7 linked regions of the Coturnix japonica genome follow. The protein of the gene in region 3 interacts with the protein of the main gene of each other region in a pairwise test. Links are inferred from orthologs where the notes say so. Each region holds a gene or a part of one and is shown on either strand. Other genes may lie near its edges. The genes, in order: GCC1; BRMS1L; AMOTL2; NFIL3; RALBP1; keratin, type I cytoskeletal 20-like; ZGPAT.

Region 1 (4,529 bases), on a different chromosome or scaffold from region 3:
ACAGCTTCTCGATGTCCAGCGTGGGCTGACTCTTCTTTGCTGCCACCTGCAGCAGCTTCTTCAGCTTCTCCATCTTATCCTTGAGAACGTTCACATCCAGATTGGCTTCTTCCACGTTCACATCAGCAGGGGATCGGCTGGAGGCTGCGATGGCCAAGGTTTTGTTCTCCTGGTCCAGCTGCACGATGCGATCCTTCAGTTTCTGGATGACCATTTGGTCCTTCTGTTTGGCCTTCTCGTAGGTGCCCAGCAGCCCTGACACCTCAGAGACCTGCCCCTCCAGGTCGGCCACGCGCTGCTCCTCCATCTGGGCGTGCTGCCGGAGCTGCTCCTCTGCTTGTGCAGTCTGTAAGCAAAGAAATGCAGCGGTGTTAGACCACCCTGCAATTACACAGGCCTTCATTCTGCTCTGAACAACTCCAAGCAAGCACAGGGACACCCTTTCCCTAGTTTCCAAACAATCCTCCCCCACCCCACACTCTCACACGCCCATCTTTAAAACAGAGACTCAAGGATGAAACAAACCGAGTGCGTTTCTGTATTTGTTCCCTGCTGTTAGCAGCATTAATGTGCATTGCTGGAGGCATGTGCAGGGCATGAAGCACAAAGCTCACCTCACTGTGGGATTTTTTCATGTCTGAGTGTGCCCTAAAGCTTTCCTACACCTAACTGTACCTAAATGCTAAGCTTTGTTACACCAATATTAACGTAATTCAGTGGGCTCTGAGTAGCTACAGCAAACACTGGAGCTCACAGCTTCTATCACCATCGAGATCTGACCTCCTAAAGAGCACGTGGAAGGTGGCACCACTCCTCAGTCCCCACTGTGAGCCAAAACACAGCTGGGATCAGCCCATCCTCAGCCCTGTCGTACAGAAGCTGCTGGGTATCACTTCCAAAACAAGGTTAATCGCATCCCATCAGCCCGAAGCTGATAATTAGAGGCTTCAGATTAGAAAGCTGAAAACTTATTCCAGACTGTGGGGAAATGAGGATCCCATGCTGGTGTCCTTCCAGCTGCCAACTCAGCAGCAAAGCCCTCCATCCCTCTGCCCCACAGCCTGCAGAGACACACAGCAAGATGCACAGCCCAGCACCTCGCTCAGCAGGCCGCCCTTATCGCCCACCTGCCTCACCGCTCACCTATTACAGTTCCATGCAGGGGGATGTGGAGGTCAGTTCCCTTTAAGAGAGTCCGAACCGAACCTTGCATTGCATTTATGATGAGAGCACGCTCATTGCCACTGCTCTCCTCCCAAATCCAGCTGCTGCTCGGAACCAAGCGATGCTCACCACGTAACTCCCACAAAGACTGCTCCTAAACCACCCGTGGTTAACTGATTTATACACTGCATTGCCAACAGCTTTAATTTTCCTCAGGGTATATGATCCCATCAGATGAAACTATGGTATTTTCTCCTATCTGAAATCTTTCGGACTTTGTGGCATGTGGCACAGGGAGAATTTGGGCTCCTCAAGCCTCCATCTGCTGCTCTGGTACCCCCTACATTGGGCTGCTCTAGGGCTCAAGCAGGGAATTACCTTCCTCATCTCCTGCAGCAGCTGCGCTTGGAAGTGGCTCTTCAGGTTGGCCATCTCCTCCTGCAGGTCTTGCACCCGGGGGTCCGGCTTCTTCCTCTCCTCCTGAACAGCCTGCAGTTCTCTCTTCAGCTCCTCCACCTCCTGGCTCAGCTGCTTGATCTGCAGCTCGTAGCCCTCAGCACGATCAGCCATGCACACCCGGCCGGCCAATGCCTCCCTGGTCTCCTCCAGCTTCAGCTCAGCGTCCTGCCTCAACGCCCTCTCGCTCTGCAGCAGCTTCTGCAGCTCCCTCAGCATAACAGCGTGGTCGCTCTGCTCCTGGGCTCGGTCGTGCTGCTGCGTGATCAGTCGAGCTTTGGTCTCTGCCAGCTGCTCCTGTACAACCCTCAGCTCCGTCTCCAACCTGTCAGTCTCATCCTCCGCCTTTTTAATGGCGTCATCCAGGTCCTGCTTCATCTTCTTCTTGTCGGCTTGATATGACGCTTCCATGCGGGACTTCTCCTGCGTCACCGTGGACAGGGCGCTGGTCAATGTGGCCAATTGGCTCTTCAGCTGCAGCACCCGCTTATCGGCCTCAATGGCAGCACAGGGCACGTCCCCATTGCTGTTACTGGTACCAGTACCGACCTCGGAACCATTCCCCTCATCTGATTTAACAGCTGCTGCGTGTTTCTCATCCTCAGGTCCCTGCTCGCCCTTCGTGCTGCCCAAACTGGTTGTTGTGTCCACGCTGGCGGCCGTTCCCATGCTGTCCTCGCTGTGAACTGAGCTCTTATCATCCATGGGATCAACATGGGGAGAGCTGGAAGGAGGGGAAGAGCCGGAGGGGAGGGAAGAGCTGGAGGGGAAAGAAGAGTTGGAGGGAAGGGAAGAGCTGGAGGCAAAGGAAGAGCTGGAGGGGGCCACAAATGGAGCCTGAGCCCCATTTAACCCAATGTCGGCCTCGTGGGACGCCGATAACACCTTCAGGCTGGCCTCCAAGGCCTCCTTCTCGTTGATGAGGCTCTTGTAGGCGATGACCACGTCCTTCAGCCTGGCCTGGTAATTCAGGAGCTGCTTCTTCTGCGACTCGATGGTTTCCAGCAGTTCTTTTTTACTCGGGCCTCCTCCGAAGTTCATACCGAATTTCTCCATGGTTCCGGGATGGGGGTGGGCCTGGGGGCGGGTAGGTCGCAGGGCTCAGGCCTTACCTCCGGACCGGGCCGGGCCACAGCAGGCCGCGGCCTCCAGGCCCAACCAACGAGTCGGTACCGGCAGCCAGAGCGCCGCCGCACACCTACTTCCGGCCTGCTTAACTTCCGCCCTCCCACCTACTTCCGCCTCGTTTAACTTCCGCCCCTACTACTTCCGCCCTCCCACCTACTTCCGCCTTGTTTAACTTCCGCCCTCCCACCCACTTCCGCCCTGCACGTTAAGCCCCGCCCACTGGAGGTGACGCACCCCACGCTGCGCATGCGCAAAGTGAAGGGTTTGGGGCGAGGAGCGGCCACCAATCAGGTGTCAGAACGGAGCAGAGGGGGCGGGGCTAATAGGATTGGGGGCGTGGCCTTGTAGTCTGGGGGCGGGGCTTAATGAGGGGGCGGGGCATCGTTGTATGAATGAGGATGAGGATGGGGTGAGGGGGGGGATGGGATGGGGATGGGATGGAGGGGAGGATGGGATGAGGATGGGGGTGAGGATGAAGATGGGATGAGGATGGGATGAGGATGGGGATAGGGATGAAGATGAGAATGGGGTAGGGATGAGGATGAGGATGGGATGGGGATGAGGATGAAGATGGAATGATAAGAATGAAGAGGAAGAGGAAGATGGGATGAAGATGGGGTAAGGATGGGGATGGGATGAAGATGAGGATGAAGGGGAGGATGGGATGAGGATGGGATGGGTGAGGATGAAAATGAAGATGGGATGGGATGGAGATGAAGATAAAGATTAAGGGGAGGATGGGATGAGGATGAAGATGGGATGAGGATGGGATAGGGATGATGATGAGGATGGGATGGGATGGAGATGAAGGTGGGATGGGGATGAAGATGAGGATGGGATGATAATAAGGATGAAGATGAAGATGGGATGGGGGTGGAGATAAAGATGAAGAGGAAGATGGGATGAGGATGGGGATGGAGATGGGGTAAGGATGGAGATGGGAGGAAGGTAAGGATGAAGGGCATGAAAAGGGGAGGATGGGATGAGGATGTGATGGGTGAGGATGATGAAGATGGGATAGGGATGGGATGAGGATGGGAATGAAGGTGGGATAGGGATGAGGATGAGGATGGGATGGGATGGGGATGAAGATAAGGATTAAGGGGAGGATGGGATGAGGATGTGGGTGAGGATGAAGATGAAGATGGGATGGGGATGAGGATGGGATGATAATAAGAATGAGATGAGATGGGAATGGGGATGAGGAATGAGATGGAATGGAATAAGAATGAAGATGAAGAGGAAGATGGGATGAGGATGGGGATGGGAATGAAGATAAGGATGATGGGGAGGATGGGATGAGGATGTGGGTGAGGATGAAGATGGGATGGGGATGAAGATGAGATGGGAATGAGAATGAAGGTGGGATGATAATAAGAATGAAGATGAAGATGGGATGGGAATGGGATGAAGATGAGGATGAGGTGGAGATGGGGATGGGGATGGAGATGTAGGTGGGATGGGGGTGTGAATGAATATAGGATGGGGATGAGGATGGGATGGAGATCAGCGTGAGGATGAGTGTGCAATGGAAATGGGGTTGGGATGGGGGTGGGGATGAGGATGGGATGTAGATGAAGATAAGGATGAAGGGGAGGATGGGATGAGGATGTGGGTGAGGATGAAAGATGGGATGGGGAGGGATGAGGATGGATGGGATGGAGATGAAGGTGGGATGGGGATGAAGATGAGGATGGGATGCATAATAGGATGAAAAATGAAGATGGAATGGGGTGGAGATAAAGAGAAAGAGGAAGATGGATGAGGAGTGGGATGGAGAT
Region 2 (4,351 bases), on a different chromosome or scaffold from region 3:
AGACAAGCGGGAAGACCCGCTTGGCTACATAAGGGTTATTGTTGCAGTTCTGCTCCTGGACCTCATCATGGAGCCCTTTGCAACCCTGCGTCTCACCTCCATATTGCTCAATGAGCTCGTCCATTCCTCCTCTACTTCGTTTACTCTCTGAAAGATTTAACAAACTGTGTCTGTTCCCTTATTTTGAAAAAACAGCCACGTTCAGTAGGGAAGAGCCATCTCCATTAACTTACTTTCCTAAACAGAATATTCACATTTCAAGGTCACATTCAATTCTGATAATAAAAGAATTGAAACATGCCTTCCTAAATCACATCAAAAAGGAACAGAACAGGTTGCTGTGCAATCAGGGACATAATTAGACATGTTTTTTCAACTTAAAATATGATATCTGCAGCTCCTTGTCTGGATATCCTCACTCAAATGTACCTTTCTTCCAACATAACCACCAGTGCACACTGATGCTGCCCAGCCTGTTTCATCAAACCTATCCAAGTCATGTTAAGCACATCTTTCTGGTCCTTTTTTTTTTTTTTTTTTTTTTTTTTCAGCTGAACAGCTTCAAGAGAATGGGGGTAAGGAAAGATTCATCGGTCTTTCTCAGCAGCAGATCTGTACCTGGATCAATGAACTCTTCATCTGTAACAGCCCAACTATTTATAAAGTTGTGTGCACATACATGTTTCACCACAGAACAGCTTTGAGCACACTGGTTCAGTTTGCAGCAGTTTCAGTGAACAGAAACCAAATTTAACTATTAAGTTAAATTCAAAGCTTCATTCCAAGCACTTACCAAATGTATTCAAATATCAACAGAGAGCATAAGAGTTTGAAACAATGACTTGATCTTCAGGCAGCTCTCAACCATACACATACAGTTCAGGCTATATTATCTGAAACAAAACTACAATTGCTTTAGAGATATAGGGGCCTCAGCACTATCTATTCCAAACTAGGAATCTCTTCACCAAATCAGTTGTTATTAGAGACACAAATAGAAACAATGTTTGTAATAATTTTGCTAGTTCTTGCAAGCCCATACCTGGATGTGCTCCACAGTTTATGGACTGAAAATATCTCCTGAGTAATACTGCATTAGATGAGAGAAGCATGATGTTCCCTCAGATGAGGAAACAGCCAAGAACTTCAGAATCTCTGCTTCAGGAAGCCTCCTGTCTAAACCTGTGCAAGTCATTAATCTTAAACTCACAAGAATACGTGCAAAGTTAACTGATGTAAATTGGAGATCTTTACATATTCTAACAAAATTGCTATTCATGACTTCTGTTGCTAAGGAGCTGCAGTCTACCCAAGCATTAGTATACATTAAGCCCCCAGTACCTCTCATTCACAAATCAAATTCTTCACTGAGACATTTTTGCTATTTCACTTTTTAAAGGGCTATTTTTCTGACAGCTTAGCATACAAAGGCCCAGTGTCACTGAAGACAGAGCAATAAACAAGGACAAGAAAGTACAATGCACCAAGAAGGGTGGGTAAGAATGAGGGGAAGGATGGTGACAGTTTAATCCAAGCAGACAATCATTGACCAGCTGCCTAGAGTTGCAAAGTAGGGTTCAATCATCAATACTTGCAAATTCCAGCTACCAGGAGCTTGCCTCAGGACTACAGCCAGCACTGAGCACCACTCCAGCTTTTCAAAGAATCACAGAACTGTTTGAGTTGGAAGGGACCTTTAATGGTCCGTTTGGTCCAACTTCCCTGCAATGAACAGGGACACCTACAGCAAGATCAGGGTGCTCAGAGCCTGGTCCAGTCTGACTCTGACTGTCTCCAGGGACATCTACCACATCCCTGGGCAACCCGTTCCAGTACCTCACTAGCCTTACTGTAATTTTTCCCCCCTCCTATTCAAACCAAATCCTCTCTCATAGTTTGAAAATATTTCCCCTTGTCCTATTAGAACAAAACCTGATTAAAGAGTATAATGCCTTTTCTCCTATAGCTCCCCAGTGGATCCAGTGGCAAAGGTCCTGTGTGGGCCAGGACATATGGAGCCCCAGCGATCCCAGATTGCAGCACACTCTCCAAAGCATTTCCGTGGTTGCCATTAAATGACAAGTTTCTAATTTAGCCCTTGGAATTATAAGGTAACCTCCAACAGAAAACTTCCTTTTAACAGGTGAACAGCTGTTAGAGCCACCTTTCACACGTTAAATCACCCTCAGACCACAGTCCTGAGCAAGTAAGGCACGGAAAGAAGCCTTTAGCAGAGCAGGGTTTAATGCTGCGCAGAAGAGGCCAATGGCACTGACAGGTCCCCTCCCACCCAGACAGGCCCCAAAACACCCAACAGAAACGTTCAGTTTCGCCTGCGAAGAACCAGGCGGACATTGGCTCCGGTCGCAGACTGAAGCCCAAGCGAGGCCCCGCACAGACACGGCGGCACCACGCGGCCCGGCCCGCTCGGCACCAGGACCTGCGTTGGGGCCGAGTTGGTGCCACCGTGCCCCCGCCACGTCCCCGCCCCCGGCTGGGCCGCAGCAGCGGGAGAGCAGCAGGAGAGCGGCGGGGCGGGGTCGCGGCGGGGGCGGTACCGGCGGTACCGGCGGAGCTGGGGCCGGTTCCCCCCGGGAGGAACAGAGAGAACGGCACAGACGGTGACCCCGGTACCTGAGCTGTCCCCCTCCTCGGACACGGACGAGCTCTCGGTCTCCTCCTCCTCCGAGGTGCTCCCCTCGTTCTCCCCGTAGTCCACCTCCATCTCATCGTGGTTGTTCTCCTTCTTCTCCCGGGAGTGGACCGGCATGCTGCCCAACGCCGACACCGGGCCGGCCCCAGAACGGCCGTTCCCGCCGCCGCCACTACCAGCCCCCGCGGTGCCACCAACCCCGCCCGGCGCCCGCCGCGCCCGCCGCGCCCTCCCATTGGCCGAGCTCTGTCATCGGCCGAGCCGTCTCACTGGCTGAGCCCCGTCATTGACTGAGCCTCCCCATTGGCCCGGCGAGCCGAAGCGCGGCGCACGCTGGGAGTTGTGAGCTGTGAGTACAGTAGGTGCTGTGAGGGGTGTCATGGCGGCGCCGCTCCGTGCTGCTCTGAAGGGCGCCGTGATGGCGGGCAGCGCCCTGCGGCTGCTGCAGGTGGGCCCGGCCAGCGGGGACTGGGCCTAAAGGGGAACCGTGTGTAACACGAGCTGAGCCCGGGTGTGAATATAGAACTTGCCTCCTTGATGGCTACCGTTCGTCGGTGTATGGGGTTTTTCTTGTTTATTAACAGCTTTCGGTATCCCAGAAGCTGACCACGAGCGGATTAATGCAATATAAAAACGTAGAAGCAGTTCCCAGAGTGCTGGAAGGTGCTGTTCCTTTGCCCAGCGTGCAATGTAGGGATGTCAGGGATTTGGGTGGCTGAAAGGAAGTAAGGAAGTCTGCTAAGAGTTGGACGTGTCCCCGTGGAAAAAGGGGTGAATTTTGCCAACTGGGTCTGAAATGCTTTATAGTGAATCCATATGGATTTAGTAAAAAGAATCCAGAAGTAATAATAATAAAAGTCTTAAGGTTTACATCTCAGTCTAGCAAGATAAAACAGGAAATCAAGTGCTATGGCCTAGAAAAGCCAACAGTAGCAGGGAATGGAATGGCAGGAAATCAGGAAACTTTTGGCCTCGTGATGGCAACTTCCTATGCAAGCAGTTGGAACTAAGGGGCTAAAAGTACATTCCAGGAGCAAAACAAGGTTCCCTTGCCACAGTGGAAATGAACAACTGAAATACAAAATTGAGACAGATTATTTTTTTTTTAATGTTAAATTTTTAGTTACGTGATTTTTGCGTGTTTCTTCTATTGTGTTCTTTATACTTTGAAGCCAAGAGGGAGTTACCCTGCTAAAGCAATACAAACGTTTACTGTCCTAAGGGGGGGGGAAAAATGTGCCAACTGAATTCAGTCTCTGTGTCCAGGTGGAATGCTGGACAAGAGAAGAGGTCAGGCTAATTCCAGGAGCTACATTTTGGCACAGTGCACAGATAATTTGTTTCCAGGATTATAAAATTGATCAACCTGATCACCCATACACCTTCAGCATGAGAAGTGGCAACACCAAACTCAGTCATCTGTCTAGAGCCCAGATGTGTGCTAGGTGGAAAGGGAAAGAAGATTCTATCTGGCTTGTGAGACAACTTTTGGAGATGTGTTCTTGCTGTGTGAAGATGCCTTTTAGGAATCCAGCTACCGAAGGATCAGCCTGTAGATGTAGATGAGCCATTTTATTGAGATAAGTGAAGGAAAGTGTCAGACCCCCTGCATTGTGCTGATTTTTTTTCTTTTTTTTTCTTTTTTTCTGGATTGAGTTTTCAAGAACATGGAAAAGACTGTTTTCCTAACGGGACAAG
Region 3 (4,404 bases):
GCTGACTATGGCCCCCCGGGGCTGGCCCAGCTTCTCCCGGTGCCTCCCAGTGTCCGTCTGTCCAGCAGGGAACAGCCCTGTCCTTGTGCAAAGCTGTACAAAGGGCTTTCTGTGGTGGCCGGGCACGCTCCTGGGGCGGGTGGAGACAGCCTGAGTGCTACTGGAGCCTCAGAATGGGCTCTTTTTCCCCTCTCTTCCACACTTGGCCAAGGAGCCGTGCTGCCACCAAAGCGCAGCTGCTTGCTGTGGGGGGCAGCCACCGGAGGGAGGGGGCAGAGATTAAAACACAAAAGGGGGTGAATTTTCACAGCAGCTGCTTGATCCTGCCCCAGGCGGCAAGGAAGCAAATGCACGAGCTCGCTCAAAAACAAGGGACAAAGCCGCACTGTGCAGATGAGGCCATTTCCAGGTGTACCTGCTCTCAGCCTAAACCTGCTGCCCGTGACACGGCAGGAGGTCAATGAGCCCTTCCCTTCCCCCCAAGGGATGGATGCTGGTGGGTGAGGTGCTGGGTGGGAGCAGAGGTGGGCTGAGCATCTGCACCCATTGCCCACATCCCAAATAACCAGCAGGGCTGGGGTCCTGCATCCTCAGCGTGCTGACAGGAAGCAAAGGCCAGCTCACCTTCTGGATCCTGCTGGCTTTCTCCGTGCAGCTCTCCAGCTCCCGTCGCAGCCTCTCATTGTCCAGCAGCAGCCTCTCATTCTCCCGCATCACAGCATCCACCTGGGCCAGCCGGCTGCCAGCTGAGGCCGCCTGTGCACTCACCAGGGCCTCCACACCAGCAGGGCTGAGAGAGCCCAGCGTGCTCGGTGAGGGCAGGAACGCTGCGGGGACGGGTGCTGGCATCAGCCTGCTGGGGGGAAAGAGAGGGGTGCTCAGCCACTTCATGGGGATGGACACACTGGCCACCACAAGCACCCTGCCCACATGTTCTCCTCTGTCAACCAACCCGTGTGGATACGCAGAGCTCCTGAAGCACCTTTGGACAAAAGAGGTGCTGGGTGCCCATGGGTCATGCTCAGGAGGATGAGTGCTCAACCTGCCCTGCACAGCTGGGAAGGGTTGGCTTTGGGCACACAAAATACGAAGGAAACCCCATCTGACAGCACTGCCTGCAGCTTGAGCACCTCCACACCCAGGATTTAAGCACCTGAGAACATCAGGACTTGACTGCTAGGCCGGGGGGGGGGGGTCAGGGGGGCTCAGTACCACCCTGCTGCTGGGTGATGCAGTCAAGAAAAACCCTCAGCAAAGATGTATGTTGGAAACCTGCAGCACTACCACTTCTCCTCATGGTTTCCTGGGCAAGGAGAGGGCTCCTGGCTCCAAGCCTTGCCACCACACTGTTAATACAACCCCATTCTATCACCCAGAGTTCCTCGACATCCCATGGCTGCCTCAGCCATCCTGAGCCATGTGGCCGCCGTGCTGGAGCCTGCATTCCTATGGGGTGATCCAGGAGCGAGGAAGAACAAATGCATCTTCCTCACAGTTCTGCTTCCCCTCTTTGTTCCCTGGAAGGAGAGCTGTTTCCTGCCAGAAATGCTATCACTCCCTGCCCTGGTAAGTCAGCTTGGAGCTCCTGCCTATAGCAATTCCATGCCAGAACACCACACTTCCCAGCCTTCCCTGAGCACCAGGAGATGCCCAAATCTCCACACCCACAGACCTCCAAGCAGAGGCAGGTTTTGCTGGAGGTGTCAATGGGCTGGAAGGAAGGAGCAGTGCTCAGCGCTCCCATACACTCTGCTGGAAGGCACGGGGCCGGGGGCACCCTCAGCCGGGGAGGCCAGGCAGCTTTTTCCACTCCGAGCAGCACATTTTCCTTCCACGCTGGCTCACGCCTGTTCCGAATTTAGCCATTTCCTGACCTGCCTCCAACTCCTGCATTAACCCCGAATCCCTCCCGGAGCAGCGGAGTTTTCACTGCCGGATGGAAATCCTGAACCAACCGAGGCAAACCGGGGCCAACCAGCACCCAAGAAGCGGCGAGGGCTGTGGGTTACCTGACTTCGGGGTGCTGGAAGCCGGCCCCGTCCCGGGAGCAGGGCCGGGACAGGTAAGCGACGGCCGCCTCCTGGCTGGGGAGGATGTAGGGATACTCCGGTGGAGGCCCGCGAGGCTCCGTTCCCTCGGGGCGCTGCCCTCGCAGGGTGTATTGCCGGGAGAGCTGCGGGAAGCTGTGGGACGAGCTGATGGGGCCGTGCGCTTTGGCCCCGTTCCTTTCCAGCGACATCTGCATCAGCCGTTCGCTCAGCGACCGCACGTGGCCGTGCTTCAGCTCCTTCAGGGCGTCGTCGGGGCGTCGGGTGCCGCCGTGCTGCTGCCCTGCCCGCTGCCCCGCGTAGTATTGCGAGTGCGCCTTGGCCTCCTCGTAGCTGGGGAGCTCCTCGCCCTTGTGCTGGGGCTGTGCCGGGCGGTATCCGCCGTGCTCGTTGTACAGGTGGTCGGCGTGGTGCTCCTGGCCCTGCGGCTCCTGCCGGGCGGACTGCGGCACCATCTGGCTCTCCTCCTGGGTCAGACTCTCCAGCGACGAGCGGGGGCTGCCGGCCGTGCCGCCGCGCAGCGCCTGTTGCTGGATGGCCAGCAGCGTGCGGTTCTCCGTCAGGTTCCCGTAGCGCAGCTGCTCCTGGATCAGGCGCTGCAGCACCGTCCCGCTCGAGTCCTCCGCCGTCCTCATCTCCGCCGCGTTCCGTCCGTCCGTCCGGGGGCTCTACGAGCGACGCGGGCACCTGCGGGGGGACACGGGGACGTCAGCGGGATTGGGGCCGGAGGAACGCGGCTCTCCCCACGGCTGTGCGGCTCCTCGGGGACGGGGGATTGGGGGGAGGGCGGCGGTACTTACCGGGGCATGGCGGAGCGGCGAGGCCGTGCTGCCGCTCGGGGAACGAGGCCACTGCCGACTGCGGGCCCCGCCGGTAGCGGGGGCCGGGCTCGGGCGCTGCTATGCCCGGAATGCGGGGCCGGGCCCGCCCCGCCCCGCCGCCACCTCCTCCTCCTCCCCGTCCTCGCTCCGCCGCCAGGGGGAGCAGCGCCCGCCCCACCGCCATTCGGGGCTGGGCCGGTCGGTGTCGGCGCTGGGCCGGGGGCTGCCGAGGGGTTGGGGCAGCAGCTGCCGCCCGGGGGGGCTCCGAGGCTGTGCCCGCCAGCTGCCCGCCTGCATAAATCTTCGTGCCTGATCCCGGCCCCGAGAGACGCGCCATTGTCTCCCGGCCCTACAAAAAAAAACCGCGGCCCCATCTGCTCTGCCCTCTGCCAGCGCCGCTCCCCTTCCCCAGCGCAGCCCCCCGACCCCCGCCTCTCGTGCGGGATACACGCGTGCTTTGCTCCTTCCCTTTGTGGGGTGCAGCAGGTCGGGACCCGCGGCACGGAGCCCGGGGCTGCCCGGCTTTGCGGAGCCGCTTCCCCGTCGTGCGGCCGCAGCGGAGGAGCCGCGGGACCCCCAGCGCCGGGCACGTCCGCCCGCGGGGCCCCGAGACGGCAGATGGTCCGAGGGGCGGCCGAGGAGCAGGTGCAGGGAAAATTGCTAATTAGATACGGGACATTAAGCTCTCATTCTTGAGAGAGGGAATTTGGCACCTTCCAAAGGCCGAACAAAGCCCGGAGCGCGCCGACGGGCTCTTCCTTTTGCCATCCTTTGGGGGGCTTTGTCTGGGGGGAGGAAAGGGACTGGCTGTGGGTAACGCTCTCTGCTCGGCCAGACACCGCTGCATCCTTCAGAGGCACAGATGCACGCTGCACAACCTGAAATTCGGCCAGCCTCCCCTGCCGGCCCCCAACCATGGAGGTATCGGGCTGACGTTCAGCACCCAGCCGCTCACTGACTGATAACGGGGCTGAGAAACGAGCCCTGGACACAGAGCAGGTGTGGGCGAGATCCCAAACCCTACCGGGGGTCTCTTAGTGGGATGGGGGCACCCAGCATGCCGGAGGTCCCAGCTGCCCCCCCGGCTCATCCAGCAGCCTTATCTATGCCTGCGTCATCCCGCTTCCCTTCCTATCTCCACACCGCTCTATTTTTGGCAGCAGGAAACCCCTCCTGGGCTGATAACAGCACTTTGGAAAGTGATCTGAAGAGGAAAAGCCCTCTGCTCCTCTTTTTCTTTCTAACACGGCAGATATGGGAAGCTTCCACCTTTCCATGCTCCCCCTGGACGAGCCTGACCAGCTGCTGGCTTCTTCACACAGCCCTTCCCCATCCACAGACCCACACAGACCCACTGCTTCCCATCAGAAGATGAAGCACGTGGAAAGGTGAAAGCAGCCCACAAAGCCCAGACTTGGCTGTTGTGCAGGGAAGGGATGCAGGGGCTGGAGATGGAGATGGAGATGTGCGGTGCTGTGTCAAAGGCGAGATGCTCGGAATGCTTGTGACTGCCAATAGCCATCCCGGAGCTTCAG
Region 4 (4,468 bases), on a different chromosome or scaffold from region 3:
TATGCAATCCTATTTTTGACAGTCATGCTTGTTATTGGTATTAGACAGTTACACACCCTAATTTAAAAATATCTTTTTTTTTTTCCACCATGTGCTGTAAAATACTGTAACAGAAATCATCTGACATTTTGTCTTAGAACAATCTGTAGCAATTGGCCATCTATTTGCATATTTTTTCTATTACATGTCCTAAGCACATTTGTATCTCATAACTGGCTGTAATGATCATGGCAAGGTCACCTACAAGAGTCAATTAAGCTGATGAGTCAGATACATTGCTTAACAGTGTGTAATAAGACACAAACAGAGAATTTTATTGTTCACGTTATTGCATCATAGTGATGTTATAACAGGAAGATTGCTGTCTGGAAAAAAACCTATTGCATAAACATAGTTTGCATAACCATCTGCTAAAATAAGTCAATTTAAAATGAGCTAAAGGTTTATTTTCTGATTTTCATTTCATGATAAAGGATTGAAAATAACCAGCATGGCACTGGTATTTTTTGAGGATTGTGCACTACTTGCATTGCAACAGACAATGTCTGTACATCCAACAAACTTCAGCCCAAGCATAAACAACACTGTTCCTCCTTAGGAGAGGATTAGATGTGGAGAGGTCAAGTAAGTTCATATTGCTCATGGGAAGATTCTAAGGTTTTTGACACCTTCCAGACATATTCTTTTTATGAAAAAAAAAAAAAAAGAAAAAAAGAAAAAAGAAAAAAAAGAAAAAAAAGAAAAACACCAGCAGAAACATGAAGCTCTGAAGTCAAATCCTCAAACTGGATAAATAAATAAGAGTCCCCTACAGAATGAGTAGAATAGAAAGTAGAAAAGTGGATAGTATAAAATAGAAAGTAAATTAAAAAAGGTACATCACTGTAAAGAGGGTTAGCACTTCAACAGTCACATAAAAATGCCAATAATGTGAGAGTGTTTAAAGTAGTATCTGTTAGTGCCAGTGATATTGAGGATCTTTCTATTCAGTAATCCTCAGGCTTGTTCGCTAAAACTGGGTCTGTAGGTCACAACCTGAATCCTTATTCATTCACATTTCTTATCAAAATCAACATTTTGATCGGACAAGGACTGTAAAAGTAACACACACAGCACTATTTTAAACTGCCCCCTGGATTGAATTAATTACCAGGGGCAGAGATGACTCAAAGTAGGTTACGTACACAGCAGTGAGCACAATGCAGCCAAGAACAACCATTCAACTTACAAGAACAAGGAAAAATCAGGCTGCTTGCTGCTCTTAACAGAACCCAAAGGGTTTGCCATCACAGCTGAACCTGACCCCCACAACCAAGCAGCAAAAAAGTCTGCACATTATTGTTACTATTGCATTTTTGAACACTTTTGAATACTTCAAAGTTGCTACCTACAGCAATTCCCATGAACACATGGCAAGCGTTCCCGGTGCTAACATTACCTTTAGAGGTTCTGACCACAAAGAATGATTCTGGCTCTCCCTGGCTGGAGGATCGTTATGGGCAAACAAAAACTGCCGAACGCTCAAGGCAGCGCTCGGAGTGTTGCTCCCAGGAAGCTCGAAGCACGGCCTGACCCCAGAGCAGGGCTGTGCCACCGAGTACATAAGTGACTTGGCAAAACAGCACCATTGGGCAATAGCCATTTTTGACTCGCTCGTTACGTAAGGAGAACGCCGAAAACACGGGGATGGCGGTGGGGCTGCGTCTCGCCCGCAGCCACTATGCGCTTGCTGAGCACGGGCCCTTTGTCTGCAGCTGCGACCTGGACACGTCCAGCCCCGGCGGTTGTGGGGCCACGCTGCGAGACGCGGCGGCCACAAAGGCGGCCTGGTCCGGCTCGCTCCCTCCGCGCGGCCCCACGACGCCACCCCCCTTTCCCCCCCCCTCCCTTTAGCCTGCTTCGGCCCAGAACAAAGGGCTGCGAAGCAGGGGGAAGCGGCAGCGCCGCCAGCCCTCACCCTCGCGGCCGTGGGCTGCCAGCCCTCCGCCAGGCCCCGGCCAACGGCCTCGCGGGTACGAGCCGCGGCGACGGCTCGGGGAGCGGGACCGGGGCGGCGGCGCCCCCGGCGGCAGCGCTGCCCTTGTCGGCCGAGTCTGTCATACTGACCTACTTGTGCACCGTGGGGCGGGGCGGGGCCGGGCCGTGCTGCGCCGCCGGGCGTGGGGCGCCGTCCCGCTGCCGCTCGGCGCGGTGACAGCTTCGCACAGCGGCACGGCACCACGCACGGAGACGGGCCCATCTTCGAGGAACGGTGGCCGAGAGCCGGGTCGGCGCCCGGCCGAGCGCCTCCACCACCAACCGCCTGAGCCGAGCCGCTCCGCGGGCTCGAGGCTCGCAGCCGGGACACCGAAGTGTAACGAGGTCCGCTGCCACACTGCGGAGCCTAAAACGTAACGGGGCGGACCCTGCGACGAGCACGGCGCGGTAGCCCCTGTCTCTCCGTAACGAGGCGGATCCCCCCGCCGATCCCGGCCCGCAGCCAGCGGCCCCGCGTTACATAATGCCACACTTCCAGGAACTACGATGCGGTCCGTCCCGGGAACGCTGCCACAGCGCTGACAGCGCTGAGCCGCCCGCAGCTCCGTACCGCGCCCGCACCCCGCCCAGCGCCCAGCGCCCGCTCCGTGCACAGCAGGGCCGGCCCCGCGCTACGGGCGGCACAACGGCGGACCCCGGGGCGCAACGCAACGCGGCGCTCCGTCGGCGCGTTATGTAACGGCGGTGGCGGGATGGCGCCGCCAGTCGCACCGCAACGCAGCGCCTCGCCCCGCGCACCGCAACGCGCCTTCCTACCTGGAGTGCTCGGCGGGGCCACAACCATCCACGAGGTGAAGCGAGGCGAGAGCGCTGCGCTGTGCCGTGCCGTGCCGTGCCCCGTGCCGTGCCGTGCCGTGCCCCGGGCGGCGTCGCCCCGCTTGTCCGTACGCGAGGCGAGCGAGAGCGTGCGGCGGCTGCGGCGGCGCGGAGGGATGTGTGTTAGTAGGTCAGAGCTGCGCGGCGCGGGGCGCTCAGCCCGCATGCCAGCCGCGCCGCACCGTGACTGGCGGCCGCCGCGCCCCAATCGGCGACTGGCGCCGCCGGGGGACGGCCAATGGGGGCGGGAGGGGGCGGGGCCAAGGGGGGGCGTGGTGCAGCGAGTGTGTGTGCTGGCGATTGCATAACGGCCGGCGGCGGTGGGGGTGGCGCGGCGGGGCCGGCGCTTACGTAACCGGGCGCGCGGCGCTGAGGGGGGCGCTCGACCCGCGGCCCCGCCCCTGATCTTTTCTCATCCTCACCCCATGTTCTGCTGTGCAGTAAATCCAAGCGCCTCAGGTTCGTCTGTATCTATCGGTATTCATCTCCCCATTATTGCGAGTCTAATAACCTCTGCTCATACTGATTCTCGCCTTCCCTCATTGTCTGCTGGTAGCTGGAGCATAGAGCCCTGGCTGTGGTAGCCCTGCAGAGCACGCTGCTGCAGAAAAGGCTGGAGGACCAGCAATCACATCCACCTGCACTTCATTTCTTTGCCTTATGTCCCCTCATAGGTAGACACACGTCCATACAAAGGCAGTCGGTGTGCTATTGAAAAGCTCAGAAATGTGCTTTAGCCGTGAACTTTGTTCTTATAGACGTCGGTGGACTCTTAACAGTCTTAAGGACACCAGACCATCTGTATGAAGAAATCTGAGCAGCATGTGCATGGGGATAGAACTGGATGCTCTTTAAGGTCTTCCCAGCCCAAGCCATTTCATGATTCTATGATTCTACGTTATTTCTCATCCTATATCTTTTGTATTATTATGAGGTTGTCCTGAAAGTAATACCTCATTTATTTCCAAGGAAACAGCAATAGATAAAAAGAGAACAAGAACATTGTTTGATAGAGCAAATTCTCAGCTACCGGACACTATTTTTCAACACAGTCACCACCATTTGCTGTACATTGTTACCAGTAGCAAACAGGAGATGCATGCCATGCTTGTTAAAGTCTGCACCAGTGAGTGGACATGACCCACTGTCACTGCCACTACTGCTGGAGCACCATCCACCGCCTCAGTGTGCTCATGTCCACTGTTTGGTTTCTATAAATGCACAGAAAACATCAGTGAATGTCAGTGGGTGCCATTTCTTTTCTGCACAGATGAATTCAGTGACATACCTTTACTTCATCTGCACTTCTATGTTAATTGCTGTTTTGTCAGACTGACCCTCTGCTGCCACCTGTCACACGGCAACAACATGTAATGGAATATTGGTGGGAAGGTTCAACCTCTCCTGCCGTACCACCAACATCTGCCTCTGATGTTGTGGGCCAACATAATAAAACAGGTGGCATTACTCTCAGGGCAGCCCTTGTACATTGTGGTGAGAATCTGCAGGACTGTCAATAACACTAGTAGCCCCCCAACGCATCAGATAATTTTTAAAATTGAAAAGTACATCCCATTTTTTACCATGCAAAGTATTTTTTTCGTGAACCCTATGC
Region 5 (2,864 bases), on a different chromosome or scaffold from region 3:
AGAGAAACAACACCCTGAGATCAAAAACACTTGCTCAAGTTTACCAGGACTGGAGCACATAAAAATTGCTCACGTTCACTAAATAATCTAAAGTGGCTTTGAAAACAAAATCAGGGTTTAGTTTACTTTAATAAATCCATTATTCCCTATGGGGATGTTTTTTTTATGGAGCGAAGGTCCAGTTCCCATTAGATCACAACTTCATTGCTGTACTAACAGAGAATATCCCAAAAGTTGAAAAGATGCTAAGATTTCAATAAAAGGTACCAGCTTGCTAATGTGCCGATGTGCTCAGAGTGATCTTTTAAGTGTGGTTTAGTTCTGCTGCTTCTCCCCTGAGCACATGCCTGGCCAGGGAGCTGAGGCAAGCAGTCTCCCTTTTACCTTTGTATTTCAGCTATCTCTGCACGAAGGCGATCGATTTCTTCCTTCTCTGAGGCTATTTGTCTCCGCAGAAACTGCTCCATGGCCAGCAGTTCTTCTTGCTCCGTTAAAATCTCGTTCTCCTGCAACAAGCAATTAGTTCACTTACAGCCTTGGCTTTATGTTCTATGGGAACACGCGCTGAGGACTGCCCTAATGCTGAGCCCTGGGAAGCAGTGATGCTGTTCCCTGAGCTGTTTTCAGAAGTACTTAGTGTGCTTGCTCGGCACCAAGTCAGCAAGACTTCAGCCCAACTCTAGGTTCAAACCCAACAATGTCTGTTCTGAATCCTCAAGGTGATGCTGTAAATCTCGGGTGAAAGCTCTGGGATAACCCAGAGAAACTACGCTCAAAAACAGGCCTTTGAAGATTAATAGTGAGAGAAAAGTGCAGCGGAGGGAAGATCAAAGCTATTGAGGCAAGCCAAGGCAGGCATGAATACCAAAAGAGCTGCCTTATTTCCTTTGATCAGCAGGAAAAGAGTTAACAGTCCTAACTCTGGTCAGATGCAGAAGTGCCTTCTAAGTATGTGAACAACAAGGCCCACTTGTTGCTGCACACAACTGTGCCTGAACAGCAGCCTGTTCACCTTCAGGCACACTCCTGCAGTCCGTGTGCTTTCCCTGCCTTATTTAGTGCTCAAACAAAGCTTCGGATTTTAACAGAGAGAGTAAGGCCCATTGACGCCCCTTCTGTTTTCCATTGTATTAGAAGGAATAAATACACGCTCAGTAACTCTGACAGATGTGGAACATGAAACTACAGCATACAAACCGATATGCGCTTGCCATCTACCTGTGCAAGCAGAATATTTATAACTTCTTCATTCTCATTCATTTCTTCTTTGGAGACATCCTCCTTGGAAAGGCTGGCAATTTCTTGTGCAATCTTTGTTTCACACTCCTGCCAGAGAAAGAGTTGGGTCAGAACACACGGTGTTAAGCACAGAGTGGACAGGAGCTCTGTCAAACACTGTTTTAGTCACGCACTGTTTTACAAACAGCTGGAGGATGAAGGTGCCGCTCCTCAGCTGTTTAAGAACTGAGATGGAAAATAAAATATTGCACTAAAAAGACTTTCTCAACTCAAGAGTACTGCAACTAATACTGGAAATCTGCAAATTTAATTCTAGAAGGTAACTTAATGTTTCTCTTTAGAATCTGCATGCATGAAGGAAAGCAGAATGAAAGGCTTCGGTGGCAACCACGCTTTCTAAATCCAACTTACAACCCCCAGAGCACCAAAATTCCATACCTGTCACAATCTATGAGCATTAGAAGCCCCCAGTCCACACTTATAGAATCATCTGACACTTGTGGTGCTTTCAACTGCTGGGTTAGGCAGTTAAGGCTGAATGATGCACCCCAAGAAATGGGGACGAGCAGCAAATAACTGATAGCCATGAAACTTGGGCAAGATTTGCTGAAGTTAGGAAATGCTCCTCGGTCATTTTCATCCGTGATCTACATTTGGGCAATAAATAGTAAGCTACTCACTTGTCGCTTGGCTTCTCTTAGCTTCCTCTTAAGAGCTGTTAAAATTCTTTGCACCTCCCAGAGTCTCTCTTCTTTGGATAAATCTTTTATCCCCGCCTGCAAGTCTCGGTGTAAACAGTTCAGTAGGAACTCCTAGAAACATTACCAAGGCAATTAGTGTCCTTAGTATATCAGAGCAAAGGAAAAAATATGGCATTGGCTTCTTCATGACAAAAGGTCTGGAGTTCTGCTTTTCAAAGCACGTGGTGTCCCACAACAGGACAACTGTGGTATAATTACACTCTTAGGAACGTTTACTGCTGAATTTATCAAATCCAGGACAAAACCAAACAAAACAACTGAAGTATTCACCAACCTGTCGCCTGATTTCTTCTTTGATGCTTTCCTGTGTCTCTGGAAGTGCTGGCATAGTCGCCATATTTGACCAACGAAGAGGTTTTGTTACCTGTTTCAGGGTCACATTCCCAAAGAACTCTTGAACGTGTGTAAAAAGTACATACAGGACACGGTTGCTGATCTGAAAGAAAGGGCATGGGAGTAGTTCAGATGATTTCTTCACATAATCTGCACCTGTGAAGCACAGTATCTTTCTCCAGAAGTGCAACGACCTTCCATCACTCACAAATACATTGAATGGTTTGGGTTGGAACGGATCTTTAAGATCATGTTGTTACAACCCCCTGCTATGGGCAGGGACACCTCCCTCTAAACCAGGTGGCTCAAGGCCACATCCAGCCTGGCCTTCAATGCTTCCAAGGAGGGGCATCCACAACCTCATGGGACAGCCTGTTCCAGTGTCTCACTATCCTCACAGCAAAGAATTTCTTCCTAATATCTAGTCTGAATCTACTCTCTTCCAGTTTAAAGCCATTTCCCCTCATCCTGTTACTACCTGCCCTTATAAAATGTCCCCTCCACAACTTTCCTGTAGGTCCCCTTCAGGTA
Region 6 (4,635 bases), on a different chromosome or scaffold from region 3:
AAACAGGTATATTTCCTTTCATCAAGACTTTAGTTCAGCCCTTGTCACGTGTTTAGATGAGTTTTCAGTACTAAAGTGAATTTTGTTAAGCGTCAGCTATAGGTGAAATTCACCTGCAGGCTAATTTCTGCAGTGTTACAACTTCAGCTCAGGAGGATTTGCCCGGCCTGGTTCCTGAGCCAGAACTGACCTTTGAACCATAGGACCTTTGAGGGAAGCAGCGCTGTCTGCTTGTGCTGCTCTGCACTCTTTCACAGACCTCTGTGCACTGCAGAGCAAGGGATGCTGGACTTTCCAGACAGTAAATGTCAGCTCATTTGCACCTCCTACGTATATAAGTGGCTCAGCTACTGGTGGCAGAAGTGCAGCAGGATGGAATCCTGCACGGGCTCCCAGACTTGCCATAGACTGCAGGAGGTCAGTGTGCGCTCACTGAGTGCCTTGCTCTGATGTGGTCAGGTGCTCATGCTACCAAAAGCAGTTTAAAATGATGTGCCCTGAGTTTCTGTCATTACAGTTATGGAAAAGTTTATCTAAAACTGCATCACTTTTGTTCATGGAGTGTGGGCGGCTGTCAAGATACTCAATTCAAGAAGAGTAACAGTGTGTACCCGTGCAGAGGGTGGCATAGACTGGTCTGAACACTGCAGCAGCCTCTGAAGGAGCACAGACTTGGAGCCTACAGCTGAGAGCCGGGCAGCAGGCAGACTTTTTTCCTTCAAAAACCAGTTGCCAATAGGCAGATTTTACCACCGTTTCTGTCTGAGAATTTAGAGCTCATTTGCACTGCTGTCAGTGGTGCAAAGCTGCCGGAGCCCCTTTCCTCACCTGATGTCCTCCCCTTCCAGCAGACGTCGGTACGTGGCGATCTCCATCTCCAGGCGAGTCTTGATGTCCAGCAGGATGCTGTACTCCGTGTTCTGCCCCTCCATGTCAGCCCGCAGCTGCCTGAGCTGAGCCTCTAACCTGGCAATTGTTTCCTGGATTTGAGCCAACTGAAAACTGTAACGTGCTTCAGTTTCAGCCAGAGAATCTTCCAGAGTCTTCTTCTACAGTTGGTGAAAAAGAACAGAGATTTATTGTTCAAGAGGATACATCTTGGCCTTAAAATTACATTTTGAAATATGTCCCAGTTTTTGTTGTTATCTCTATAAACACAGCCCTTATTTCAAGAACTGTTCATCACTCACCATGTTCAGATGGGTCTGTAATTCCAGCTCCAGGCTCTGGGAGATCTGTCTCCGATCTGTGACCTCTCTCCTTTGTTCTTGCAGCTGCTCTACATTGATTGCTACTTCCTGGTTCAGTGCTTCTGTCTGAAATATGGAAATGGAAGGACTGTGAGCTGTGACCAGACATGACAGAGGCTCTCGCTGGTGTTGAAGCAATTGACCTTACTTGCTTTTCAAATCGTTCTTTGGCTTCTTGGCGGTTCTTTTCTGCCATTTCTTCATACTGCCGTCTCATGTTTTCCATAATACTTGCAAGATCAACACCTGGAGCAGCATCCACCTCTACGTTAACCGAGCCACCCACTTGTTTGCGCAGCCTTTCAACCTCCTACAACATTGAGCACTGCGTTAGCATCAGCTAAAGTGAACTTCCAGGCCCAAATATTGGGCAGAAGCTCAGAAATACAGAAACAGAGCAACTCTTAATTCTTAAATTTAAATTTAGCTCTTAATTTAACTCTTAAATTTAATTTGTAAATGCCTCTGACAAAAAAGAAATGATGACACTGTTCTGCTGCTCTCACCTCTTCATGGTTCTTCTTAAGGAAAATGATTTCTTCATTCACGCTTTCAATCTGTGCCTCCAGATCTGACTTGGTTAAGGTCAGGTCGTCAAGGACTCGCATGAGCCCATTGATGTCACTCTCAACACTTTGCCTGAGCAAGAGCTCATTTTCATACCTGTAAAACAAGGCTTCTTTCGCCACCATAGAAGTGCAGCAGTTTGACAGAAACATCAAATCAATAACTTCTACAGCCCGAGGCCTAAAGTATTTGTTTTTACTGAGCTCTGTGGTTTACTTCTCAGCTTTGATACTAATAACTAGATGTTATCCTGAATAACTGAAGCATGAAGGAGTGCAGGCAGTGCGTGGAACTTACTTCAGTCTGAAATCATCAGCAGCCAGCTTGGCGTTGTCAATCTGCAGGACAAGCCTTGCATTTTCCAACTGTGCAGCACTGATCTAAAAAGGAAAGGTTGGAAAGGGATGAAGCAGAGGTAATGCAGCTCGCAAAGGACACTGAGTGAGTCTTAAACATTAGAAAGTCTGTCACTAATTTGTGTCTGGCCAGAATGAAGCATTTCCTGTTCCCAGGTGAGACAGATCCTATTTGATCTACTTTTCCACAGTAGATTGTTACCTTCCCCAAAGCTGCAGTTTATGCTTTTATAGATGGCTGTAGGAGATCTTACCTTGTTTTGGAGTTCCTCGATTGTTTGGAAGTATGAGCTGTAGTCACTCCTTATGCCCACTGTATTCTTCTCGTGCCACTCCTTGATCTGCTTTTCAAGCAGGGAGTTTGATTTCTCCAGAGAGCGCACCCTCTCCAGATAGGCAGCCAAGCGGTCATTAAGGTTCTGCATGGTTGATTTCTCATTGCCAGCGAGCAGCAGGTCGTTATCAGAGATGTTGGAGAAGGCACCGCTGGAGCTCTGTCTGCGGACGGTGCTGCTGGAGATGCGGGTGCCGTAGCCGCCAGCCCCACCATAGACACTGGGCGCCTGGATCCGCTGCACGGCCGCGCTCCTGACGGACAGAGCGCTGCTACCAGGAGCTGTGCCCTGCAAACGGGCGGCTGTACCCAGCTGGAAGCTCTGTGTGGAGAAGGACATCGTGCCTCCTGCAAAGGTGAAGCGGCTGACTGTACGACAGCGAGTTGGAGTGAAGTGCTGTGTGCTCTGTAAACCTTATATTGTCTTTGGAAGAGGAAGCACGGTGGTTGTAAACCCCACCTCTCTTGACGCATACTGTAATTGGTGTCAGCACAAATAACATGCAGGACATTGTCCCCACACTCTGTAATGCAAAGGGTTTTTAATCTCTCCATCTGCGTTTGAAAAAAAACTGCTCAGGAAATTTAGCTTTATTCATTTTTATTTTGAATGAAAGATAAAACACAAACGAGCTGCTGAATCATTTATTGCAGCCTAGCCAGCCTATCTCTATAGAGCCATTGTCGAACAAACCCTGTGCGGGTTATGAAATTAAAATGAGTTGACCGTATGTGACAAGAGACCTTAAATATTTATATCTCAATCCAGTGTACATTGCTGTTGTGTGAGCCATCGTCTGGGCCTGAGGATGGTGTAGGAAGGTCTTGAAATGGTCAGGAAGGTGGCATTTGTATCTACCGCCTTCATTCATTCTACAGTAAGCACAGAACAGTAATCTTAGTGTTGTCAAAATGACTGGTGTAGTTTGCTTGCATTGAATGTACACTGTTCAGTGATAGAAAGCCCTTAGAAGTTGAACTGGGCTGCAGTGTGGTTGAGATAAGGCAGAAAATGTAGTAGGCAAAGCTGTAAGGATATGAGAACCACCTGGATGGCTCCCTTTATTTTACATGTGAGATGCTGGTCCATAGTGCTGAGACCAAGCTTCCAGCACAGCTCCAAGCCCTCCTGCCCTGGCAGCGTGCTCAGCACGTTGTGCCCTCTGGCTGCTCTGCCTTTGACAGGAAATCAGCTGCCTCTGATCAGCACACAAAGAAACCCAGCAGCTGTGTTTTGTAGTTCCTCCAGCTGCAATGTATGTACTGCTGAGATGTGACAGGCAGAGATACAATGGAAATCGAGTGAAAGAGCTCAGAGCTGGGGGAGTTCCTGGTGCTGCATGAAAGCAGGCAGCAGGTGTGCAGCAGGACAAAGCAGGTGGAGTTCCTTGGGGCACTGCATTTAGTGTACTTCAGTGTATTAATAATGTACGGCTATTCAGGTTGAACAATTAACATGTATTGTTTATATTAGTGGAAAAGAGCTGCTGTACATACTGGTCTTTTAACCTGGGACAAGGCAATGGGTGACGTGCTGTTCTCTGGGCACTATGCTGGATCTTGGCAGCATCCTCAGGTTTCTGAGAGCTGAGTGTGGGATTCGGTGGGACCAGTTCAGCTCAGATTGGATACAGAACTACCAATAGTTTGCTGAGTGCAGCTGTAACAAGGCAGAGTTCAGCTGCTCTGGAAATGTGCATCTTCCAAAGCAAAACGAGCAGCATTCAGAGCAGGGCTCCTTGCCATGAGGATGCAAAGTGTACATTCAGGTGTCTGAACTGTGGTTGGACCTCGAGCTTTGGGTGTGACTCAGAAGCATAAATGTGCATTTATGGCAGGTCCGGTCAAAGTCCAGCAGCCAGGTCAAATGTCCCGTTGCTATAGACACAGGGTGGGTCTGTTCTATCTGCACTCAATAGGGATCATTTCCAGCTGTAGGGCAGAGCTCACATCTTTAAAACCACGAGAAGAACGCAGCAAAAGTCCTGCTACAGTTACATCTGCTGTCTGTGCATTGCTCTGCCTGCATCTCTCACAGGACTCTCCAATGGTTTGTTTTCAGTAGACATTCTGCTTTGTCTTCTTCCAAGTTATTAAAATAGTTTCCCCTCAGGTACAGTTGACACCT
Region 7 (4,472 bases), on a different chromosome or scaffold from region 3:
TTGACATATGACATCCCAGCAAAGTTTGGCACTGTGGCACATAATGTGCTTAATTAGTGCCTCCAGTGCATGTCAGTAGCATGAGGATTCTCTAGGCTACTATGCTAATGATGTGTTATTAGCACTCAATAATCTCCATTAGGCTGAATTTACTGAGCAATAGGACACAGCTTTGTCCCTGTGACAAAACAGGGGCACAGACAGAGTGCTATCTGTGTATGCTCAGAGAACCTGGTTCTGTTGGTGTCACCTCTTCATAGTAAAAAGCCAGGCACAGCTGTTACTCATCAAGACACTGGGAGGTTTGAATACCTGTGCCTGGGATCTCTTACTCCTGTTGTGTTATACAGCTCTGTGTAGGCTCCGGAGAGATTAGAAGTCTCCTGTTTTACTTGCTCAGCTCACACACCCACTTGAAAAACAGACTAAGAACTGGAACTCCATTATAAAACATTGCGCCCTCTACCTGCTGCTACAGAAACATTTGAGCTTCACCAGACTCATACTGGTGACAGAAGGCAGACACAGATCACAAGGCACTTCTCTCACACCCCCACCACCCTCTCACCTTTAGCATAACCAGAATCATCAACACTGTCTTCATCAGATTCAGCAGATGAGGCACCATCTTCGCTTCGTAGTGGGGGAATTATACTATCTCCTTCTACAACAGCTTCCTTTAGCAGCAGGGAATCAAACTTCACCGTGTAGTAACCACTGTCAATATCTACAGAAGGAAAAGCAAGAAACAAGAGTTCAAGTAAACTCTCAATACAAACACTGCAGAGAGCTTCCTCAAAGTTGGCTTCAGGGAATGATGCGGGAGAGGAGGAAGGCCTGAAGAACACGTGTTAAAACAGCTGAAGGCTTAAGAGATTTACTTATAAAAATAGAGGAATATGGGCTGTCAACAAATGGAACTAAAAAGAAGTTTGACTTACTCCCTCTGACCCAACAAGTGCCAAAGAAAAAAACTTCTCAGAACAGAGGGGAGCCTCTATCAACAGCTCCCAGATTACTGCAGTTCTACTCTAATATGCAATTGTATATGCATGTATATTTCCTATCCTATTCCCTTCCCAAGCCTGACACAACTCAGAACACGTTCTCAACTACCTCCAGATTTTTAGTTCAAGGCCACAGCTACATCCTCAAGTGTTTGCTATCATTAACCAAAACGGTCATACTTTGTAATTCCTTCAGCATGGGTGCTCAATCTCTACACAGCTCTGGCACAACACCCACAAACACCACTCACCAGTTATTTTGGCAGCATACCATATCCCATCACTGTGTTTGGCCAGGCAGGCTGAGCCCACCTCCAGGGTACTCAGATTGGGCTCCTGAAAAGGCTGAAGCTCCTCCACAGAGACCACCTGGCCATGTGAAAACCTGCCAGGGAAGACAGAAAAGGAGTCAGATCTACCTCACTAGAAAGGGCTTGAAATATAAACCCCTTCCTTCCTGACAGGAAACTCAAACAAATTGTCAGCAGTGATGAATCTGCATCAGAAGGTTTATCATGCATCATTTCAATTAAAGAAGTCATTCGTTTTTCACCATATTCATATAATTTATGCTGTGTAATAGAAGAAATAATCCCACTCCCAAGAATGAAGCTTTCCCTGATAGGGAGATCTCTGAAAAATCACAGATCTTTTGAGATAATGAGGACTGCACACAGACACAGAGATCTCAGCCTCCTGCTCAAAGCAAAGCCAACTTCAAAGCCTGATCAGGCTGCTTAAGGCCTCATCTGGGTTAGATTTGAAGCTCTCCAAAGATGGAGACCCCGCAGCTGGAACAAAGGTACCATCAACAGACAGCCCTGGGTGTTTTTGTTTTAACTCATAAGCCTGTGACTAAAGTAGCTATTGGAATGATCAGGTAAAATCTCTGCAACTTGCCCACAGGGATTTCCACTTCATATCTGCATTACCTGAACTGTCCAGCTCTTTGATACCACCTGTTACCATACATAATGGATTTTAATAACACTGCAAAATCCCATTGGTTACAACAGCCAGCGTGGAACACTCAGATGTTCCAGCCTTTGAATCACACGGCCTTTATCAGCAGCGAGGATACGAGCCCCCTCCCCCTCCATATTTTTCTTTACCGACAGTTCTCTTTAAATCTGCATTTGTCATCCAAGAAGAACGGGCACGGCTTCAAGGACTTGTGAGTGGGGTAGAGATACAGCACTCTGACACCTGCACTGCCATCTTCCAAGTACTCCGTCCCCACAATCATGGCATTATGATACTCCAGCGTCCCCCACGAGCTGTAATACGGCGCTTTAACCTTCATCCCACTCAATTCCTCCTCCTCCTCCTCTCTATCAGACTCTTCCTCGCTGCATTTCAATTCACTCTCCTTGCTTTCTTCGTCTCCCGTCGCAGATCTCTCGCTGTTATCAGCTGAGGGCTCACCATCAGTCCCCAGCTCAGCAATGGCTTCCTTGAAGGCAGCATATTCCTCATCCTGGGCACAGCTATCGGGATTTTCACGCTGATTTACACAGGAGGCGCTTGTATCCAACGCAGCCAACAACTTGCTCTTCTTCACAGCCACCAGGCTGGACTCGGTCAGTTCTATCAGCTGCTTTAAATCTTCTTGTAACTGAATCAGATCCGATCGCTGCGAGGGGTCCTGGCCCGCCCCCAGAGCCAGCTCAACCTGCTGCAGCTGGGCGTTGTAGGCCTGGATGGCGGCTTCCAGGCTCTCCTCATCCATTGCGAATAGAAGCCAGGCCCCGGTTTAGGCCTCAATCCGAACCTCCCCGCTCAGCTCCCGCACCCCCACAGCACGGCCGCCATTACGCCCCCCCCACTTCCGCCCTTCTGAGCAGCCACTTCCGGCTTTTCCAGCTGTCGCGCAACGCCACTTCAGCGACCAATCTCTCCGTAGTGCGCTTGCGCAGTCGGGCCCGCCCCACGCATCCGGCGCCGCTGAGCATTCTGGGAGTTGTAGTTTAAAATAACCCCACCTCCCCGCCATAGAGGCGGTGTGAGAACTACACTTCCCAGAGTGCCTCGCGAGGGACGGCGCCGGCGGCTGGTGTGGTGGGGGAGCGAGGCGGCGCTGGGTGACGGGAGGAGCTCCCGGTACCGGGTGAGGGGCTGCGGTGTGCGCTGTGCGGCCGGGCCGGGGCCTGCGGGGTACGGAGGGACTGTGGAGGGATCTGAGAGCTCAGCCGGGCTCTGAGGGGTGGGGACGGCGGGGAGGGCTGCGGGCTGTGGGGCAGGGGGGGTCTAAGGGGCGTTGTGTTGTGACCAACTGCTTGTATAGCGGGTGCTGCAGCAGCACTGCTGTTGGAGAGAGGAGGGTTTGGGATAGGTGAGGGTTCCTACACACACCGCCTGGGTACGTGGTTTGAAGTTAAAAGAGGGAAGATTTAGGTTGGATGTTAGGGGGAAGTTCTTCACTAGGAGAGTGGTCAGGCCCTGGAACAGGCCGCCCAGGGAGGTTGTGGATGCCCCGTCCTTGGAGGTGTTCAAGGCCAGGTTGGACGGGGCCATGGGCAACCTGATCTATGGGGTCTCTATGGGGTCTCTATGGGGATCTATGGGGTCTCTATGGGGATCTATGGGGTCTCTCTGGTCTCTATGGGGATCTATGGGGTCTCCTGGGCAACCTGATCTAGTAAAGGTGTATGTTTGGTGGCCCTGCCAGGCAGGGGGGTTGGAACTACATGATCCTTGAGGTCCCTTCCAACCCGGCTCATTCTGTGATCCTGTGATCTGGCTGTGAGCTCGGTTCAGCTGTTGAAGATCCCATAATACTGTCATAAACAAAGTGAGGGGGCACCAACCTGCACATTCCTGCTCAGAACACTCCTCTATATCTGCACACCACTGGCTTCTTTTCTACGAGTCTTATATGTTCTCTAAGTTACTTTCAAGCAGACTTTAGCTTGCTCTTAAGTCCAAGAGAGAACAAACTTTGAGTTGAGAAGTGAGTTCATAATGGATGCTGTGCATTGTGTGCTGAAACACAGGTTAAGCTACTTGGAAGATCATGTTTTGAACATTGGATCTTGAGCTGTTTGCACTCTTCCTTTTGTGTCTGTGATTTGTCCTAGGGTTGGCTTAAGAGTTACTGATAAACGAGTAATGTCACTTATTAATCTGATGTTGGGAGAAGTTTAGATCATGGAGTGGAAGAATTCTGGAGATAATCTGTTTGTTAATGATTTCCTGGCATCTGTTGCAGGAGCAGGATGTATACTCTGCTGTCTGGGCTCTATAAGTATATGTTCCAGAGGGATGAGTACTGCATCTTGATCCTCGGTTTGGACAATGCTGGTAAAACAGTAAGTGCTGAGTGTTACCAATTGCATGCAGTTCTAAACATCCCCATCTTCAGAGACAAAACTTCCACCAGATGGGTCAGTCTTTGTCTGTAACATGAGCTATTTAAGCGATGTTGCCCCCAAGGAATCAACTTTTATCTCGTATTTAAATTTAGCA

The links.
Region 1: the proteins of AMOTL2 (region 3) and GCC1 interact in a two-hybrid assay, tested with the Homo sapiens proteins (2 studies listed by BioGRID and IntAct). The two-hybrid records come from large-scale screens. The link is inferred for Coturnix japonica from reciprocal best matches to the Homo sapiens genes AMOTL2 and GCC1.
Region 2: the proteins of AMOTL2 (region 3) and BRMS1L interact in binary tests that used the Homo sapiens proteins (3 or more experiments, as listed by UniProt). The two-hybrid records come from large-scale screens. The link is inferred for Coturnix japonica from reciprocal best matches to the Homo sapiens genes AMOTL2 and BRMS1L.
Region 4: the proteins of AMOTL2 (region 3) and NFIL3 interact in binary tests that used the Homo sapiens proteins (3 or more experiments, as listed by UniProt). The two-hybrid records come from large-scale screens. The link is inferred for Coturnix japonica from reciprocal best matches to the Homo sapiens genes AMOTL2 and NFIL3.
Region 5: the proteins of AMOTL2 (region 3) and RALBP1 interact in binary tests that used the Homo sapiens proteins (3 or more experiments, as listed by UniProt). The two-hybrid records come from large-scale screens. The link is inferred for Coturnix japonica from reciprocal best matches to the Homo sapiens genes AMOTL2 and RALBP1.
Region 6: the proteins of AMOTL2 (region 3) and keratin, type I cytoskeletal 20-like interact in binary tests that used the Homo sapiens proteins (3 or more experiments, as listed by UniProt). The two-hybrid records come from large-scale screens. The link is inferred for Coturnix japonica from reciprocal best matches to the Homo sapiens genes AMOTL2 and KRT20.
Region 7: the proteins of AMOTL2 (region 3) and ZGPAT interact in binary tests that used the Homo sapiens proteins (3 or more experiments, as listed by UniProt). The two-hybrid records come from large-scale screens. The link is inferred for Coturnix japonica from reciprocal best matches to the Homo sapiens genes AMOTL2 and ZGPAT.

The regions. Positions count from the first base shown.
Region 1 is NC_029516.1:516,575-521,103, reverse strand, and holds the start of GCC1 (GRIP and coiled-coil domain-containing protein 1), read right to left. Parts: upstream 2,870-4,529; 5' UTR 2,677-2,869; coding exon 1,543-2,676; intron 347-1,542; coding exon 1-346. UniProt on the Homo sapiens protein: Probably involved in maintaining Golgi structure.
Region 2 is NC_029520.1:32,940,611-32,944,961, reverse strand, and holds the start of BRMS1L (breast cancer metastasis-suppressor 1-like protein), read right to left. Parts: upstream 2,879-4,351; 5' UTR 2,771-2,878; coding exon 2,635-2,770; intron 1-2,634. UniProt on the Homo sapiens protein: Involved in the histone deacetylase (HDAC1)-dependent transcriptional repression activity. When overexpressed in lung cancer cell line that lacks p53/TP53 expression, inhibits cell growth.
Region 3 is NC_029524.1:3,377,493-3,381,896, reverse strand, and holds the start of AMOTL2 (angiomotin-like protein 2), read right to left. Parts: upstream 2,981-4,404; 5' UTR 2,849-2,980; intron 2,736-2,848; 5' UTR 2,684-2,735; coding exon 2,010-2,683; intron 857-2,009; coding exon 625-856; intron 1-624. UniProt on the Homo sapiens protein: Regulates the translocation of phosphorylated SRC to peripheral cell-matrix adhesion sites. Required for proper architecture of actin filaments.
Region 4 is NC_029547.1:39,516,811-39,521,278, forward strand, and holds the start of NFIL3 (nuclear factor interleukin-3-regulated protein), read right to left. Parts: upstream 2,906-4,468; 5' UTR 2,794-2,905; intron 1,801-2,793; exon of another isoform or gene 1,439-1,800; intron 1-1,438.
Region 5 is NC_029517.1:88,790,610-88,793,473, forward strand, and holds part of RALBP1 (ralA-binding protein 1), read right to left. Parts: intron 2,437-2,864; coding exon 2,275-2,436; intron 2,052-2,274; coding exon 1,920-2,051; intron 1,327-1,919; coding exon 1,219-1,326; intron 507-1,218; coding exon 385-506; intron 1-384. UniProt on the Homo sapiens protein: Multifunctional protein that functions as a downstream effector of RALA and RALB. As a GTPase-activating protein/GAP can inactivate CDC42 and RAC1 by stimulating their GTPase activity.
Region 6 is NC_029542.1:4,173,771-4,178,405, forward strand, and holds the start of keratin, type I cytoskeletal 20-like, read right to left. Parts: upstream 2,907-4,635; 5' UTR 2,848-2,906; coding exon 2,428-2,847; intron 2,198-2,427; coding exon 2,115-2,197; intron 1,914-2,114; coding exon 1,757-1,913; intron 1,561-1,756; coding exon 1,399-1,560; intron 1,317-1,398; coding exon 1,191-1,316; intron 1,050-1,190; coding exon 829-1,049; intron 1-828. UniProt on the Homo sapiens protein: Plays a significant role in maintaining keratin filament organization in intestinal epithelia. When phosphorylated, plays a role in the secretion of mucin in the small intestine.
Region 7 is NC_029535.1:9,383,581-9,388,052, reverse strand, and holds the start of ZGPAT (zinc finger CCCH-type with G patch domain-containing protein), read right to left. Parts: upstream 2,832-4,472; 5' UTR 2,737-2,831; coding exon 2,120-2,736; intron 1,393-2,119; coding exon 1,259-1,392; intron 728-1,258; coding exon 569-727; intron 1-568. Other genes in the region: ARFRP1 (ADP-ribosylation factor-related protein 1), read left to right, coding at 4,223-4,315. UniProt on the Homo sapiens protein: Transcription repressor that specifically binds the 5'-GGAG[GA]A[GA]A-3' consensus sequence. Represses transcription by recruiting the chromatin multiprotein complex NuRD to target promoters.